4 linked regions of the Nothobranchius furzeri genome follow. The protein of the gene in region 1 purifies or fractionates together with the protein of each later gene. This does not show direct contact. Links are inferred from orthologs where the notes say so. Each region holds a gene or a part of one and is shown on either strand. Other genes may lie near its edges.

What was found.
Region 2: the proteins of stx5a (region 1) and ykt6 purify together in Homo sapiens (affinity purification with mass spectrometry; 3 studies listed by BioGRID and IntAct, with this or other methods). This does not show direct contact. The link is inferred for Nothobranchius furzeri from reciprocal best matches to the Homo sapiens genes STX5 and YKT6.
Region 3: the proteins of stx5a (region 1) and sec22bb purify together in Homo sapiens (co-immunoprecipitation; 4 studies listed by BioGRID and IntAct, counting the BioPlex papers as one, with this or other methods). This does not show direct contact. The link is inferred for Nothobranchius furzeri from reciprocal best matches to the Homo sapiens genes STX5 and SEC22B.
Region 4: the proteins of stx5a (region 1) and bet1 purify together in Homo sapiens (affinity purification with mass spectrometry; 3 studies listed by BioGRID and IntAct, with this or other methods). This does not show direct contact. The link is inferred for Nothobranchius furzeri from reciprocal best matches to the Homo sapiens genes STX5 and BET1.

The regions. Positions count from the first base shown.
Region 1 is NC_091741.1:87,969,203-87,974,382, reverse strand, and holds the start of stx5a (syntaxin-5a), read right to left. Parts: upstream 3,040-5,180; 5' UTR 2,921-3,039; intron 2,540-2,920; 5' UTR 2,382-2,539; coding exon 2,319-2,381; intron 1,973-2,318; coding exon 1,902-1,972; intron 1-1,901. UniProt on the Homo sapiens protein: Mediates endoplasmic reticulum to Golgi transport.
Region 2 is NC_091757.1:56,085,744-56,088,820, forward strand, and holds the end of ykt6 (synaptobrevin homolog YKT6), read right to left. Parts: intron 2,612-3,077; coding exon 2,510-2,611; intron 2,420-2,509; coding exon 2,384-2,419; 3' UTR 909-2,383; downstream 1-908. Other genes in the region: uncharacterized protein, read right to left, coding at 1-32, 423-470. UniProt on the Homo sapiens protein: Vesicular soluble NSF attachment protein receptor (v-SNARE) mediating vesicle docking and fusion to a specific acceptor cellular compartment. Functions in endoplasmic reticulum to Golgi transport; as part of a SNARE complex composed of GOSR1, GOSR2 and STX5.
Region 3 is NC_091748.1:52,857,738-52,862,649, reverse strand, and holds the start of sec22bb (vesicle-trafficking protein SEC22b-B), read left to right. Parts: upstream 1-1,913; 5' UTR 1,914-2,049; coding exon 2,050-2,124; intron 2,125-4,494; coding exon 4,495-4,604; intron 4,605-4,697; coding exon 4,698-4,858; intron 4,859-4,912. UniProt on the Homo sapiens protein: SNARE involved in targeting and fusion of ER-derived transport vesicles with the Golgi complex as well as Golgi-derived retrograde transport vesicles with the ER.
Region 4 is NC_091751.1:27,117,814-27,121,931, forward strand, and holds bet1 (BET1 homolog), read left to right. Parts: upstream 1-1,489; 5' UTR 1,490-1,627; coding exon 1,628-1,646; intron 1,647-1,823; coding exon 1,824-1,930; intron 1,931-2,014; coding exon 2,015-2,071; intron 2,072-2,300; coding exon 2,301-2,456; 3' UTR 2,457-2,974; downstream 2,975-4,118. Other genes in the region: zgc:85777 (probable acyl-CoA dehydrogenase 6), read right to left, coding at 3,222-3,312, 3,581-3,731. UniProt on the Homo sapiens protein: Required for vesicular transport from the ER to the Golgi complex. Functions as a SNARE involved in the docking process of ER-derived vesicles with the cis-Golgi membrane.

The sequences.
Region 1 (5,180 bases):
TGTGTAGGGAGGGGCGGACGCTCTATGTGACTGGCCAATCACGGAGCATGAAGACAGTTACCCAATGGGTATTTTCTTTCAGCACGATTACAGATATTTATGAGTTTTACTCGTTTCATGCTCGTATTCATCAAAAATGCTTTATCCGCCCTATCTGTAACCACCCTGCCCTGCCTCCTCCTCCTTGCTGCCTGCCGGCTTTCATCACAAGCAACAACAGAGTAGTTCCCGCTGCTTCTTCGGGAAATGGCACAAAGAAAAAAAAAATCAATTAAACTTGGGATCTTGTAGGCGTGGCGCTGGGATTTCAGCCGTGGCGGGCCGCCACCTATGCCTGTGTAAGGGAAACACTGGGTTCTGCTTCATTAACACGTGTTAGAATAAAACCTCGGGGGGTGGACTACTGGCGGTTGTGAGTGGGGTCCCTTGGGGGTCTTGGCGGAGGCCATGGGTCGCTGCCTGGCAGCTGCATTGCCCCTGAGCAGGTCTGGGTGGGGGCCTGGGGGCTCAGGGTGTGGCCGGCCTGGTGTGGGGATCTGGGCGGGGCCTTGGGGGTCGGGTCCTGACATGTATGCTGCCGGGAAGAAGGCAGGAACATGCGGCAGTGCCTGTCCCGGGTTCAGGGGCCTCAGGTAGACCTCGGCTCCTCTGCTGTTCCATCACAGGGGAGGGGGATGTCCAGGAGGGGGAGGACCCAACCTTACCTCAATGTCCAATGTCTTATATATTCTGGGAGTTGTGCAAATGCAGGGATGTGATGCTGCTCCTTTGGTTCCCTGGCAAGATGGGCTGGGGTCTCCATGTCCTGGGTGACATTTTGGCAACAGAGGTGCCTATCGGGGCCAGTGGGGGAGCTGGCTCCCCCACTATCGGGGCCAGTGGGGGAGCTGGCTCCCTGGAGGGCTTAAGTCCAACCAGCAATTCCTCCCCATCCCCACACATTTTTCTCCTCCTGCTCCCTCACATCATCACACAATCATGCACATAGGACCTTGGAGGGTGGACAAGTCAGGGGGTGCAGGTATGGACCCCATTTCCGCATTCCTGTGGCAACCTGCCCCCCAATTTTACTTGCACCTTACTTCCACCAACGACATTCCACGCAAGCACACACTTAGGGCCTTGGGAGTGAGCACATTCAACGGCATTTGGCAGGGGGATTTTTCAGCCTCATCCCGAGTGCCAGTGACCACTTCCAATTTTAAACAGCACTTAGACACTGAGGGCTGTGGGTGCAAGTGGGGTAGTGTGGTGGCATCAGCTGGCATAGGCCAGACGATGCCCGCACTGGAACTTGGGCACGTTCAACACATGTCTTAAGGCTGTGGTTGGCACTAAATGCACTATAATTTATTATCGTGTGATTGTTCAATAAAACAATGTTGATTTTACATTTCTTCATCAAGTTGAAACAGTGATAGCTTGCTCCTGTTGTATTGTTGTGTGTGTCCCTTTTCTGCAGGTCTAGAAGCAGACTCTTGTTCATCATTGATCGTTTATTTTCGTGGACCCCCCCCCCTCCCCTTTTGTATCTTCCTTTCTCTTTCACCTCTGTCTCCGTGTCCGGTCGAAATTACAAAGCATTCGAAAAACATTAACAATAAAGTTTTAAGTATCAGACATGACATTAAAAGCAGAAGCTTTGATGCTCCACCTGAGAGTAAAATCTGTAAGGCTTGTCTCCAGCATTCAGACATTAATTCTGTTTGCTTCACAGCCAGACAGGACAGGAGAAAAAAAAAAAAGAATAAAAAATAATTTTTATCTCAACCACTCTTGAGAGTTTTAAGACAGGTTAAGAATCATCTGGAACACTCAAAACTAAAGTAGCTGTGGTATCAGTAAAAAGAACATTTGTAACACATGAATAAAACATGTAGGAAAACCTCTAAAGCTCTTACTTGGCCATGAGTGTGAAGTCACTGCGTTGCCTGAGAGACTGAGAAGCAGGTTTACTAGGCTGGACTCCATTCTGACATGTGGGGGGATATGAGGAATAAAATGTTAGATTTAAACCAACAGTATGAAGCCACACAGTGGATAAATAAAAATATATTATTAGATTATTAATTAAACATTTTTGTTGTAACTAATATATTTGTGGAGGTATACAGTATCACCTGACTGATAAAAAAGTGGAACCAAAACCACACACACACACACACACACACACACACACACACACACACACACACACACCAAAAAGCAAAACCAAAAGAATCATTGTTATAAATGCATTCCAATTTACTCACAACATGAAAGCAAGGGTGAATTTAAGGTGTACACCTTAATGGTGGCCGTAGTTCACTCAAACATACCTGTCTGCCTTGTAGAGATTTACAGGCTGACTGAAACTCGAGGGTTCGGTCACGGCACGTCATTCTGACGCAGCTCAGTGTCACCAGCCTGCTGTGGACACCCGAAAAACTCTTCCTAACGTCTGTCTGCCTGATGAATATAAACAAGGAGACCTTCTGATCTGGGGGACAGACTCACATCCAAGGTGGTGTGTCCTTCATCGGCACAAGCACACACATGTCTGCAAAAACAATGAAAGGATCTTTGGTGAACAGCTTAATGAAAAGACTAATCAAAAATACCTATTCGGTACCGTTAGCCCCGACTACGAAAACAATTAAATCGCAGCAACAATGCGGTAAATGACAAAGACCACAATTCACAAACATTCCCACGTGAGAGCAAAATATAAATACCATTAGGTAATAATTATTACCCCCAAAGTCTTCGAGAACCATCACGACGCACAGCTGATCTCGGCCTCACCGGCTAACCACCGGCTAACATCTGCTAAAGAACGCTACAGGCTTTTCATCCGGTTCCGTCACCATTAAAACCGAACTTTATTGCGCTCTAAACTCAAAACATGAAGATTATTCATATTTCAATTCGTTTCACTTACTTGAGTCGGCATCACACCATTTTTATCGAATATACTCGATGTTCTGGTAAGAACTAACCGACCGTTTTAGTTAAAGTTCCGATCCGGGTCATTTCCGGAATTGACGTCACTGCCACGTCTACTTTACTGAGACGTAAATCCCCGTAGGTGCAGATTAGCTCCACCAGGGGGCAATGTTCCCCCTCTTAATGAGAGGAATGTAGCAAATGACTAAACACCAAAGATCAGCACAAATAAAATAATGTTTAATTTTAACAGGGCCCAGCCATTTAAATCTATTCGAATTTTTAAATTTGCAAAGTCACTGCAGATAGGCATGTTGTTTCATATGTGCAAACCCCCAAATAATTCAAAATTGTACCTGACTGATCTGTCAGTGGGAAAACTATTGTGGTAAAAAGCACTCAGTTGCCACATTACAGGTTGCTTGCTCAGCATATTCAACATTAGATCCAGCAGATTTTTACCCTGTTTATGTTTGAAGTAAATTACTTATCTGTCAGCTTTGAGTTGTGTGTCATGTAATAGATTTCAACCAGGTTTGGGTCTGACTTTACTTGGGTAATAATTCAACATATTAAAATACAGTTTTGTAGTTTGACCTTGGCTGAAGTTCCCAGTGCATTCAAACATGCTGTTGTTCAGCCGATTTTGAAAAAACCTGGTCTTGATCCCACTGATTTCTCTAATCTTCGACCAATTTCCAAATTGCCATTTTTATCAAAGGTACTTGAAAAAGCTGTGCATGAACAGTTAACACATTTACCATCAAGTAATGCACATTTTTCAGTCTGGGTTTAGACAACAGCATAGCACTGAAATTGCTCATGTTCATGTGTTTAATGACATCTTTCTGACTTTGGATTCAGGGTTCCATGTGGTTCTGGTACCTCTTGATCTATCAGCAGCCTTAGATCTAATGAGCGCCTTGAATGGCAGCTCTCGTGGTCTGCCTGTATCTGGTCAGGCTGTACTGCCGAGCCATACTTCTGTGCTTCGGGACGCTGGGGCACTGACAATAAAGATGATTCTGATTGATCATAACATCTTGATCTCCAGACTACACACATGGGCTGGCATCACAGGTTTGGCTCTTGACTGGTTTAGTTCTTACTTTTCTAACAGGACCCTCAGGGTCAGGCTGGACGACTACTCATCCCAGTTGGTCTACGGTCCCTGAAGGGGTTCCTCAAGGTTCCATTCTCGGCCCATTACTGTTCTCCCTCTACATTCTGCCTTTAGGAGCCATTCTCAAACAGCATGCTGTTTCATACATGCAGACAATTGCCAAATCTATGTTTTGCTTAAACCCACTGACTCCACTAAACCTCTGTATGACTGTGTTCATCTGAATGACTCTAAAACAGAAGTAATTGTTTTTAGTCCCGATAATGTTAGAGCGACTCAGCCACCTGACCACTCTCATCCTCCTAATGTAACTTCTACTGTTTCCAACCTCGGAGTAAAAATGGACCCGGTTCTGAAGATGGAGGCTCAGGTCAATAGCACAGTGAAGTCCTGCTTCTACCACCTCAACAAATTTCTAAATTAAAGCCCATCCTGAGTGCCCGTCTTCTAAATCGGTGATTCATGCCTTCATTACATCTTGGCTAGATTATTCCAACTCCTGCCTTTATGGCACCAGTAAAGCTACTCTGGCCAGAATTCAGCAGCAAGGTTCCTGGCTGGAGTTGATAGAAGACAGCATATTACACCCGTTCTCTCCATTGGTTGCCCTCCTCAGCTCCTCCTCACCGTCCCTAAGGCACGTTTGAAGACCCGCAGGAAAGGGCTTTTTCTTTCTATGCCCCAAAACCTTGGAACTCACGATCTCTCCAGGTCAGGCAAGTGCCCTCTATCACCATTTTTAAATCACGCCTGAAAACACACTACTTCTCCCTGGCCTTCAGCTCCTAAACCATGAAGCACTAACTCATACTTTGTCATCCTTCTTTCCACCTTGGTTGCTCAATTTTAAATCTGTGGATTGGTATTTTGTGGTTTCACCTTGTTTCATTGATTTTACTTCGTTGTTCTTTTTAATTGTTTTAATGACACACGTGATGATTTCTGCTTGTGATGCTTTATTTTTTGCAGCGCTTTGGTCAGTTGCAGCACCGTGTCAAGTGCACTCTATAAATAACATGGTACGGTAAAGTAGGGTACATGTTACTTGAATACAAATAAAATATTCTAACTCATGTCACGAACATACTAACCTTTGCCTTCTTAAGAACAAGGGAGAAAACAGTAAACAGAG
Region 2 (3,077 bases), on another chromosome or scaffold:
TGTTGGTGCACAAGCTGCTCTCCGAGAACCACCTGAAAAGTAAAAAACATCACTCCTCATTAAGGATGTCAGTTTGAAACCAGTCACTTCTATCAACTAGAATATTAAACCAAAGATAAATCCTGAGATAAGACGGAGTTTGGGCTTAATCAAGTCGGGCTGCAAATGGAAACTTGTTGCAGGAAGTCCACAGCAGGAAAATCAGCGTCGCGACCGTGGAAAAGATAAGACAAGCATGCAAAGAATACAAATACTATGCTAGACACGTATTTATTAAATGTTTAGTTCAGTTTTAACCGTGAAATTTTAAATAACTTCAGTGACGTCATGTTTAGGTTTTAAAGGTGAATTAACGCGGATTCCCCAAAGATTCGCGCTTCTTTTGGCAGAAAATCCTTTGTTAGTGTCCTTTAGCTCCTCACCTGTGAGTTGGAACTTTCATTAACGACAACAAAGCTCCTGTTTTCCATCCTCGATCACATATTTCCCGCGTCGGAAACTCCGAACTGTCCTTCTCACTTTCAGCTGCACGCTCACGCTGCCCTCTGTGCTGCGTTCAAGAGCTCCTTCAAAACTCGGATTTTCCACAAACACAGATGTTTATCGCTGATTGCACCGGACTGGATCAAATTATTCAGCTAATCTGTTTTCCTAATGAAAAGAACGGATGTGTTTAATTATCTTGCATTATTAGTAACTTATGTTGTCCCGTTTATTTTAAAAGTTGTTTTCAGTTTTTCCTTCTTGGAAAGCGCATCGAACTATGCATGAAATGTGTTATATTCAAATTAAAGCTATCTTATTATTTTTAAATTAAAATAAAAGCTTTATTAGCTTCATCTCAGAAAGCCAACAGCTCACTATAACTGACTTTTGCACACGAATAAAAAAAATGAAACCATACATCAGACATTTATGCTTTTTATCTAAGCAAGAGTAGTGTTTTTACAGAAAGTAAGTTACAGGTTTTATTTTCAAAAAATATGTGCTGCACATGGAGCTGCAACAAGCAACAGTCGAGATCTGATAATACAGTTGGAAGTTTTCAAAAGACAAAAAAGTGAAAATCAACCCTGGACAAGCTTGGAGTTGGTCAAAAGAAAAAGCATGCAAGGTTTGTAACTTATGAAAATTTATATATATGTATGTATATATATATATATATATATATATATATATATATATATATATTCCTCTTCATGTTAAAGAAACAGTCTGCAGACGTTGCACCAAAGTTTACACAACAGAAAGCAGAGACTGCACAATCTTCTCAGCATTAACACAGCGTGCAGCTGGAGGTTGGAAGAGTATCAGCGATATATACACACACACACACACACACACGTCAGAGAAACATCGAAAACACACAACCAAAGGCACGGACTCTTGAAATGACGTTTTCTCCAGTCGTGTAAAGAAAATGAAGAATGGCAGCTGTAGGGCGACTGTAAAAGCCAGATGTGCTATTACTGAGTACTTCCTGTCCCATTTTTAATTATCATACCCATTCAAGATGACTAGAGTGCAGAAAATGAAACGAGCACCTAGACCTCCCAGAATGACCTCCGTTTTTAAGGGTGAAGTGCTTCTTGGATTTAGAGGTACAAGAACAAAATCCAGGACAGCAGCTTTAAGTGAGTTCTTATCAGAAGTTTCAGGAACTCTTTGCAAACGAGGACAAACAAAACTGGGAGTTTCCAAACATTTTACAGCTAATTGTCCACATTATCAGCTTATCACAGACTCATCCAAACAGGAATGTTGAAGACTTCATCTAACATCATTAAATAGACCGAAAAAGAAAACAAAGCAGTTGTGTAAGTAAATGCAGAGCAGCTCAATGTTAATTAAAATATGTAAAAGTCTGATGTCAAACATCCAAGTTGTTTAGAAGACCGCGTTAAACACCGAGGCTTCATTAGAGCGGTGATGTAAATAAACAGAGCCCCCTAGTGGGCAAACGGGGTAAGGAGAAAACCAGTTTCCAAAAGTTCAACGGCGACGTCACCAGATTGTCAGTTATCATGAAGCAGAAAGCACAAGTGTGGTTAATACTCGCTCAGTGTTTTAAGAGATCAAGCGATTAGCTTTTGATTCGATCTGAATAACATCAAAGGGGTTTAAAAGGTGTCGATGACATCACCAGCACATAACGTCACGCTATAATGTCCTCAGTTGGTAAGAAACAGCACACAGACGTTCACTCCTTCCCCCGACCAAACCCCATCACTCCTGCAGCCCCCATCAGTCACCCCGCTGAAACTGGCCACCCCGTTCTGCTCTCATCCCGGCGCTCCGTCCCGGTGGAGAGCCGGTGCATGATGGGGGTTGTAGGAAAAGCAGAAAGGCAGAGAGTTGTCCCCACGAGGACGAGGCAGCAGCATCACATGATTTCACAGCACGAGTTCTGTTTCCGTGCCTGAAGGGTCGACAGAAAAACCAGAGTTTTAAAACAGAAGCAGACGAGGTCAGAGTTGGACGTGAAACGAGACGAGCCGACGGGACTTACGGTCTTGTAGAAGGCTTTGGACTGATTTCCCAGGTGCTCTGACTTCGCAACCAGGTCATCCAGTTTCTCTCCTCTTTCCAACAGACTTTCCATGGTGTTGTGCTGCAGAGAGTTTATACGTGAAACAGTGCAGAGATTAGGATTCAGAATTATCCAGAGAAAACCGCTAAAGCCTACTTCTTAAAGCCACAGGCTCTGGATGTTGACGTCTGACAGGATGTGAAACACACCACCTAGAGATCAACCCTCTGGGCTCCAGGGTGTAATTTGCCGTTTTTGACTAATTTAGAGTTTTCTTTTGTATTTCCAAAATAAAAGCCATAAGCACTGCCTTATGTGGTATCAATCTTTTCAGCACAACCTGGACTTTATGGATTTATACTTATTTTTTATATTTGGACATAAAGGGGTTGCATATTAGACCTTAAATCACTCAAAAACATAAAATCCGAATAGGAAAAAAGTTGTTTATTTTACTGTGAAACCAACAAACATTTATGACGAATGTTTTTTATAATTTAGAATGGTAATTTAGGCTGTACATTTATAAAAAAAAAATATATGAATA
Region 3 (4,912 bases), on another chromosome or scaffold:
TGCTACTAATAAATATGTATGTGTTACTCGCTACTGTCTTTGTTCATTCAATGTTTTGTTTTCTCAAAGGGAGATTATTACTCTTTCTGTCTTTTAACATTAAATTAAACATGTTTTGTAGTATTGGGTTGAATGTAACAAACCATAAAAAACAAAGAAATGGAAGAAAAAGCTCAACCATTTATAAAGTTTATAAAGGAATTATTTTCAATAGTGTTATGAAAACTAGACATTCCTAGTTTTCGGATTAGCAGGACATGTGAATCTGGACAAGTGGGGGAGTAGAGGAGTAGAGGGAGGTGAAGTGTGGCTCTCCCCTGCCCTGCCTCCAACATGCCTCCATCTAAAAGGCTAGGTTATCCAGAGGTATCTCTGTAGTTATGCTGCTATAGGCTTAGACTGCTGGAGGATACACTGACCACTTTCCACACTCGACTACTTTCTTCTACAGTTTGCTCTTTAACTGTATTATTTCCTGCTATTTCAGCTGTTAACTTTATTTTCTCTCCAAGTGTTTTTCTCCCCAGAAGAAGCTACAATGATGTTCTGCTGAGCTGTGGTGGCCTCATGGAGGGGGCCATCATCTAGCACACTGCTGCTAACCACTAAAACATTCTCCCTCTCCTGATAATAACTTTTTGCTTTCCTTGATGTTGGATGTACTACTACTAGTTTATCCGTTTAATTATAGATCCACTAGGATAAATACAATAAAGTTCTCTCACCAAATATAATATTTACTAAGAAATCACAATGTAACTATAGAAACATTACTTGGTATTTATGTTGTGTGTGTGTGTGTGTGTGTGTGTGTGTGTGTGTGTGTGTGTGTGTGTGTGTGTGTGTGTGTGTGTGTGTGTGTGTGTGTGTGTGTGTGTGTGTGTGTGTGTGTGTGTGTGTGTGTCTGCTCTGTCTTCTCGATCCCCAGTGAGTCGTGGTGGATGGCTGCTTATACTGAGCCAGGATCCTCTGGAGGTTTCTTCCTGTTAAAAGGGAGTTTTCTTCTCCACTGTCGCTAAATGCTTGCTTAGTATGAGGATTGCTGTAAAGTCACTGACACTAGTCAGTGACTTGATGCAATTTGCTGGGTTCCTTATATAGGAAACTTTTTACTAATTGACTTAAGGAACTGAACTATATTGGAATGTTTACTGTGTGAAGTGCCTTGACATTACTCTTGTCATGATTTACTGCTACATAAATAAACTTGAATTGAAATGAATTGAAGTTTACCATCACGTAATACTTTCTCTGGGATGACTGGTTTCTTTTCCTAGCTTAAGGGGGAGATAGATTAGTTATTTAATGCAAAAGTTTCCACTCTTAACTCAGTTAAAATTTACTTCCAAGTAGTCATGCTTTTTGTAACGTTTTAAGTGCTTCTGATCAACTGTTGCAGGATTCCTGGTGGCCTTCCAGCTTTTGGCTTCTTTTTCTGCCGAGTCATGTCGGACCATGATAGTGCAATTAGTGTCAAAGATGTAGAAAGAGAACCCCGCCTCAAAAAAGACATGTCAGGCCTAAAAATATTCAATAGTGTCTGAAAGGACCCATTAGAGCTGTGGGCCTCCTTCATCATTTGCTGTTGGCCAACAAACTTACCAAATAATTATTTCTCATAAATGCAGAATAAAGTGTATCTGTAATAAACTGCTAACAAAAAAAAAATCCCCAGGTTTAACTATAGTTATTTTCTAAGTTTCCCCTTCTCATAGATTGTTTTATAATATCAAAAAATATCAAAAAGATGCAGCTTAAGAAAAAAAATCTGGCTCATTGAAATAAAAATATATTTAAAATAGCTTTTGAGCTTCAAGTCAGGTGTTCTGGGAATTTCACCTTCCCCGGAACAATAATTGAGCATATCAGTTCCGTGCAGCGAGCGCACGACGGTATTAGAGTGTTACACGCAAAGCTGTAGAGTTTCCGGCCAGCTCAGCGCGTTGCTCCTGTTGTGTTGTCACTTTACTGCCTGTCAAACAAACAGCGGCTCCAGCTAGCTGAGAGGTTGTCTCGGGTCGTGGAGGAACAGCAGGACATTCCGGAGAGATGGTGCTGCTGACGATGATCGCTCGGCTGGCAGACGGGCTGCCGCTGGCCGCTTCAATGCAGGAGGACGAGCAGGTTCACATTTAACCTTTTAGCCTCTGGAGACTGGCGTCGGGCTGCTAGAGATAACACATCTGGGTTACTAATGTCTTAGTGACACGTCTGACGATAGTGTCCTAGTCAGAGCACGATTTAACTAGGCACGTGCCTGCGTTAGGAGACGTTTAACCAATAACAGCTGGATGGATTTAAAGGACTTGATCTTCTAATAAAGGCTTAGTTTAGCAGGCCTGTCTAGTTCTCACCAGGCAGGTTTTAGCAACAACATTCACCAGAGTCGGCTTTGAGTTTAAACCTGACTACCAGAGCCTGACTTTACCATTTTCAACATCCTTTAGGAAGCTCAAATCTAAACTCATTTATCCTGCTTCTCTGTGAGCAGAGTTTTGCATAGTTCTCACTTCTCAGTTACAAAACGTCGTCGTCGTCTTCCTCCGCTTATCCGGGTCCGGGTCGCGGGGGCAGCATCCCAACCAGGGAGCTCCAGGGAGGCGTCCAGGAGGCATCCCAAACCAGTTACAAAACGTGCATTAAAAAAATTATAGGTTCATAAATTAAAATTTTTTGTTCATAAATCTTGAGTTATCTCTTATTTCTTTTATATTTCTTCCAACGAGACAGACTTTAATTTAATTAAAATGTTTCAGGCTTTCTGTGGGTGTTTGGCTGCTTTATAATAAATCTTTTTGAATCCAGGACCACTTTACTCTGAACCATGACTCAAGGCTTCTCAGCCAAAGGGGTGAGCCGTAGCTTTCTTCTCTTTGGCCTGACGTAAGAACATTATATTTTCTCATTTTAAAAAGGCCCAAATATTACAGTTTAATGTTTAAAATTGTATCATTACACCATAAATGTGACCCCAAAGAGATGCAAACAGAAAACTCTACAGATATAACATTTAGATGCTATATATCATTGATAGATTTTGTGTTTGTTTGTTTTTAAGCCGTACACTTCTTGTTTTATCTTCTTCTTGTTCAATGACCTTGTAACTTTTTGGTGCATTTTCCTGTCATGGTCAGGACTGAAAATAGTAGCCAAAGCCAAACTTTAAAAAGACCCCAAAACTATTGATCTAGATCAGTTGTTCTGGCTCGTTGGAATCATACTATAAATTATTAATGTGGTTAAAATAGTTTCTATGTTTTCTTCAGTAAGAGCCTGTTACTTTTCAAATTAGACACTAAAAGCTTCCGACGAATGCCTCTAGACCAGGACTGACATAGAATGATGTGTCTTGCCATCTCATTAACATCAGTGAATTAAGGCTACAGAATAATAAGAGGAACATGAAAGAGAAAGAGCCCAGACTTTTAATTTTTTGTTCTTTCTGAATCCATATTTATAATTTGTATTGATTCTACTCTCATCAAAATTGCTCATATTTCTAAAATCTTTACCAGTTTCAGTCTGCAGAGGTCAGTATTATTCACAAAGTGAAGGCGGACCAGTTATGGGCCATTCCCATCTGTACCGGGTCGGCCCGGGCCGGGTAGCCCCAGTCGGCCCCAGCCTGGCCCGGTTGATTCCACACATCCTTGTCTTAAACCCATGTGGGCTGATTCTACCCACCAATCAGAGGCTTGCTCTAATGGAAGGTGTGAATTTGCTGTCAGCAGTGGGTGTGTTGGCCCTGGTCGGCCTGAAGCAGACCCCCTCGAGAAGAGGGCTGAGAATGAGCCTTGGTTGGCCCGGAAAAATACCAGACCACCCAGATATGTAAACAACCTACGCTACCCGGCCCGGGCTGACCCGGTACAGATGGGAATGGCCCATTAGACGTGTGGCTGCTGGTATGAAGTCTTAAATGACTTCATGTCATGAAATGAACAAAAAAAACCCATAAATGTTCTTGTTTAAAACTAGTTGTTGCTACGCTAATGTTAACAGGAGTCTAACCTTTTTCTCCTCTCGTCTGTGTTGCTTTCATAAAGGAAAGTGAAAAGGTTTGTTGTGTGTGTGTGTGTGTGTGTGTGTGTGTGTGTGTGTGTGTGTGTGTGTGTGTGTGTGTGTGTGTGTGTGCGTGCATGCGTACGTGTGTGTGTGATACTGTAATGTGAGAATTGTTGTTTTTACAATCTTTTGATAAAGCATCAGCATCTCACTGCAGAGGCTTTATGGAGTCTGTTTTATACAAACAAATTCATTTTTGCCACGTTAAAATGGCAAGAAATTAACCTGAATGAGCAAAAGCAGGGTGAAATGTGAGCTTTTCTATTTGATCTGTCTTGTTTCAGACGCTCAAGCTTGTCAAAATGATCTTAAAGTACCACATTGACTTGTGTATTAGTCTTGCCACGTTGTTGCCCTGTTTAAACTCTTTCTAATTTGATTTAATTGTTATTGTTTGGTAATAGTTTGTTGTTTTTTGGGTGTATTTAGTTGGGTCGAGATCTTCAGCAGTATCAGAATCAAGCTAAGCAGCTCTTCAGAAAACTCAACGAGCAGAGTCCCACACGCTGCACTTTAGAGGCCGGGCCCGTCACGTTTCAGTGAGTGTTAAAAAACAATCTTCTCTACGGGTTCTGAACGCATGTTGTTCATTAAGCCCTTTTGTTGAACTACACTTTTCTTTCTTGATATAGTTACTTTATAGAGAAAGGCGTTTGCTACCTCGTGCTGTGTGACGCCGGCTTCTCCAAGAAGCACGCCTTTGCTTACCTGGAGGATCTGCAGGCAGAGTTCCATGAGCAGCATGGAAAGAAAGTTCCCACGGTCTCACGTCCATACTCCTTCATCGAATTTGGTAAAAAAAAAAAAAAAGACTGTTTGTCCTGTAAACTGTACTGGTGTTTTTTCA
Region 4 (4,118 bases), on another chromosome or scaffold:
CGACCGGAAAAGGGTGGCTTGCCACCTCCGGGTCGGGGGAGAGGTCCTACCTCAAGTGGAGGAGTTTAAGTATCTCGGGGTCTTGTTCACGAGTGAGGGTAGGAGGGATCGGGAGATCGACAGGCGGATTGGTTCGGCGTCTGCAGTGATGCGGACGCTGAGCCGATCTGTCGTGGGGAAGAGGGAGCTGAGCCAGAAAGCCAGGCTCTCGATTTACCGGTCGATCTACGTCCCAATCCTCACCTATGGTCATGAGCTTTGGGTAATGACCGAAAGAACGAGATCGCGGATACAAGCGGCCGAAATGAGTTTCCTCCGTAGGGTGGCCGGGCTCAGCCTTAGAGATAGGGTGAGGAGCTCGGACATTCGGGAGGGACTCGGAGTAGAACCGCTGCTCCTCCGGATCGAAAGGAGCCAGTTGAGGTGGTTTGGGCATCTGGTCAGGATGCCTCCTGGACGCCTCCCCGGGGAGGTGTTTCGGGCATGTCCTGCCGGCAGAAGGCCCCCGGGTCGACCCAGGACACGTTGGAGAGGTTACATCTCCAATCTGGTTCGGGAACGCCTTGGGGTCTTGCCGGAGGAGCTGGTGGACAAGGCCGGGGAGAGGACGGCCTGGAGCTCCCTAATTGGGATGCTGCCCCCGCGACCCGGACCCGGATAAGCGGAGGAAGACGAAGACGAAGGTATGCTATTCTAAAATTTTGTTTAAGTTCAAAGGGTTTGGGGGGCTGGGCTTATAAGCGTATGCTTCTGCCTGCACCCATTCTTAGCATTGTGTAAGTTGTGTGTTTGCTTGTAAACCTGCACATGTTTCTTTGTTATACTATCATGTTGTACTATTGATTTTAATTTCTCATTAAACTTCTCAAACAACCATTTTAGTTTCCAATATCATCTTGTTTTATTTTCATTTATTAGCTCTCCTTTTGCCTCCGTGTTTTGCCTCCTTACTCCTCAGTTACTCTTGAATACAAGCTTATTGCTCTTTTCTTCTGGCGTAATTAAAAAGCAGAGGAAATAGAATCCAATCCAATCCAATCCAATTTTATTTATAAAGCGCATTCACAAGGCATTACAACCAGACAAGGCGCTGTACACTAAAAATGTTGGTTAATTAAACAGGCGTTATATAAACATGTCGAACACAGATAAAAGATAAAAAGGAAATATAACAAAATTCCCAAAAATAACAGCTAAAAATCAGTAAGACACAGGGTGAAGTAAAAATAGGAAAAAACATTTTACAAAGAACCTCAATAATACGGAAGTCGATAATTGTGGAGTCAGTTTATAAACAGTGCAGATGTCAGTGAGGTTCAGTGAGAATGTCACAGTGTAACAAAAGCAGTGGTACAGATGACACTTTAAGAATAACTTTCTCTTCCTTACAAATGTCGAATATTTTAGTGGCTTTATACAAAGTTTATTTTACAGGAGAGAGACGGTATAAGGTCCTTTGAGTTGCAGTGTCCTCATAACGCCGTTGACCGGTGACGATTGTTCCTCGTCGGCCACCGTATGATGACGTGGAATTTTCTTCTGCTCACTTTCCGGTTTGTTCAGCCTCGTTCGTTTTCTCTAACGTTTTCATCAACATACCGGACAGTTTTTGGTTCTGTAGGTAAAGATGAGGCGCGCCGGACTCGGTAAGAACCTGTTACACTTACGGTTTTTAGGTTTATGACGGGCTAATTTGCTAGCAAGTGCTAGCTAATGTTGTCTGACGTTAACAAGCTAGTTTCCTCCGATAAACATTTCTACTAACCTAACGGGACAGCAACGGTAAAAATAAATGTTAAGTTTTTTTTTTTCTTTTCTCCCAGGTGAAGGCGGCCCTGGTCATTATGCAGCCAGTGGTTATAGTGTGTATGAGGAGGAGAACGAGCACCTTCAGGAGGGGCTGAGAGCTAAAGTCAGCGCCCTGAAAAGTGTAAATGATAACTGCTGCATTAAAACTATTAAATTGTTGTTTATTAATATTTATTAGTAATAATCTGGTACTTTTTGCTCACAGCTGACCATCGACATTGGAACAGAAGTGAAATGCCAGAATAAAATGCTTGATGAAATGGTGAGTTTAGACGTTCAGAAAATGACTTTGTTTATTATGAACATATTTCATGACAGCTGTGGTGTTTTCCTCTGGAGTATTATGCATGACTCATTGAAACTAGGTTAGGGCTAATTTCCTATCTTAAATGGTTGATTAAATCAGTTGGGCCATCTTCACCCATCTTACTGTTTCTGTGCTTTTAACCTGCTGGATTTGTGATTTTTTCCCAATCCCTTTCCCTTTTAAGGACACAGACTTTGACTCGACGGGGGGACTGCTGGGAGCCACCATCGGTAGAGTGAAGCAGCTCTCCAGAGGCAGTCAGACCAAACTGCTGTGCTACATGCTTCTCTTCTGTTTTTTTGTCTTCTTCGTCGTGTACTGGCTTATGATCCTGAGGTGATAGACGTACCCTTTTGGACTTGGACCTTGTGACCCACATTCCCAGTCTGTTGGATCTTGAAACTAGGCCAACACAGTAACTGTGATTATGTAAGCCAGGGATTTTGTAAACGAGACGTGGCTTCATGTGCTGCATCAGAGCATTTGGGTCTGTCTGGGTTGGAGCGCCGGGACTAAAAAACTAAATCCAAATGATCAAAAAGGCAGAGGTGATTCGTAACCATGAAGCAATGTCTGTATTTGTGCGTTCCCTATAACCACCTTTAGTAAGATTAAGCAGATTTAACCTGTGACAGATCACCATGCTGTAGGGGAACGTACAGATGAAGCTCAATATATGGTTGAATTAAAATTAAGGCATTGCCCAATGATAAGTAGATCTTGTTAACAGCAGGAAACATTTCAGTTTCAACTTTGTGGTAAACACTTATGTAAATGAAGACCTTTTATGTTATAAATAGTCCAGGACAGATTTGTTTTATGATATGTAGTCTTTAAATAAAACCAGCCACACAAACAGTGATTGCTTCATTCACATAATTTGTTTTATTTTCTAAAAAAATATGGTTATTTTTCTAAAATGGATTATTAACTACTGAACAAAACTAACAAAAAATGCTTAGATTCATCTGAATAGCAAACATGATCAAAATCAAAATTCTAAGTTCACACATGGCTGAATTGCACTTCATTAGGCTTTTTTTCTTTTAAATGATCAGTATGCTTTTAATGATGATTATGACATAACAGGAGCAGCTGGTGGGCGTTACTTCTTGGGAAGAGTATCCATGTATTTGCAGATGATCCCCAGCATCACCTCGTCAGCACCTGCACCGATCGATATTAACCTGGAGTCCCTGCAGAGAAGAAAAGCCTTTTATTTATGTCACACTTAAACAAGCTGCAGGCAGCAGCTGGATCGTTGTCATAGTGATTAGTACAAAGTTGATTGTGCTGAGTCATGGTTACAGGGGAAAATAAGATGTTCAATTATGTTTACTCATTCGTTTAGAAACACTGGCTTTTTAGTCAGACTAATTTTGATTCTATAGTATAAAAAGATGTTTTGATCTAGAAGCTTAAATAATAAGTGACTGTAGCTCTTGACGGTCGTTTCAGTCCCACCTGTAGAACCTGCTGACCAGCACATCGCTGGTGTAGCCCATCCCTCCCCAGAACTGCAGACAGCTGTCGCTCAGCTCTCTCGCCAGGCGCCCAGCCTTCAGTTTGGCCATGGATGCTAGCTTGGTGACATCGTTCCCTTTAATGTACATCGCTGCCGAAAAATCAGGAGAAGAAACAAAGGTTGAAGAAAACAAGAGAAAGATGGAGGGACATGAAAGAGATGCAGGATCTCACATCAGTGTTTGTGTGAACGGGTTTTTCTATCCGTGCCTAAAAAATGCTCTTATCTGTGGGAATCTGGTCCCAGACTGGTACCAGTCAGATTAACGAACTCAAACCTGCGGACCACTGGGATAAGAAGAGAAGGATGATCACAGAACACCTGCCTCACAGGTGCTGCAGAACATTACAAACAGCTGGGTGTGACATAATCCCTCGTCACCATCGTTTTTTTAGTTTGACGTTTTCTCACATCCATCCATCGTCTTCCACTTATCCAGGTGGGGTCGCCGGGGAAGCAGCCTAAGGTTGGTTTATG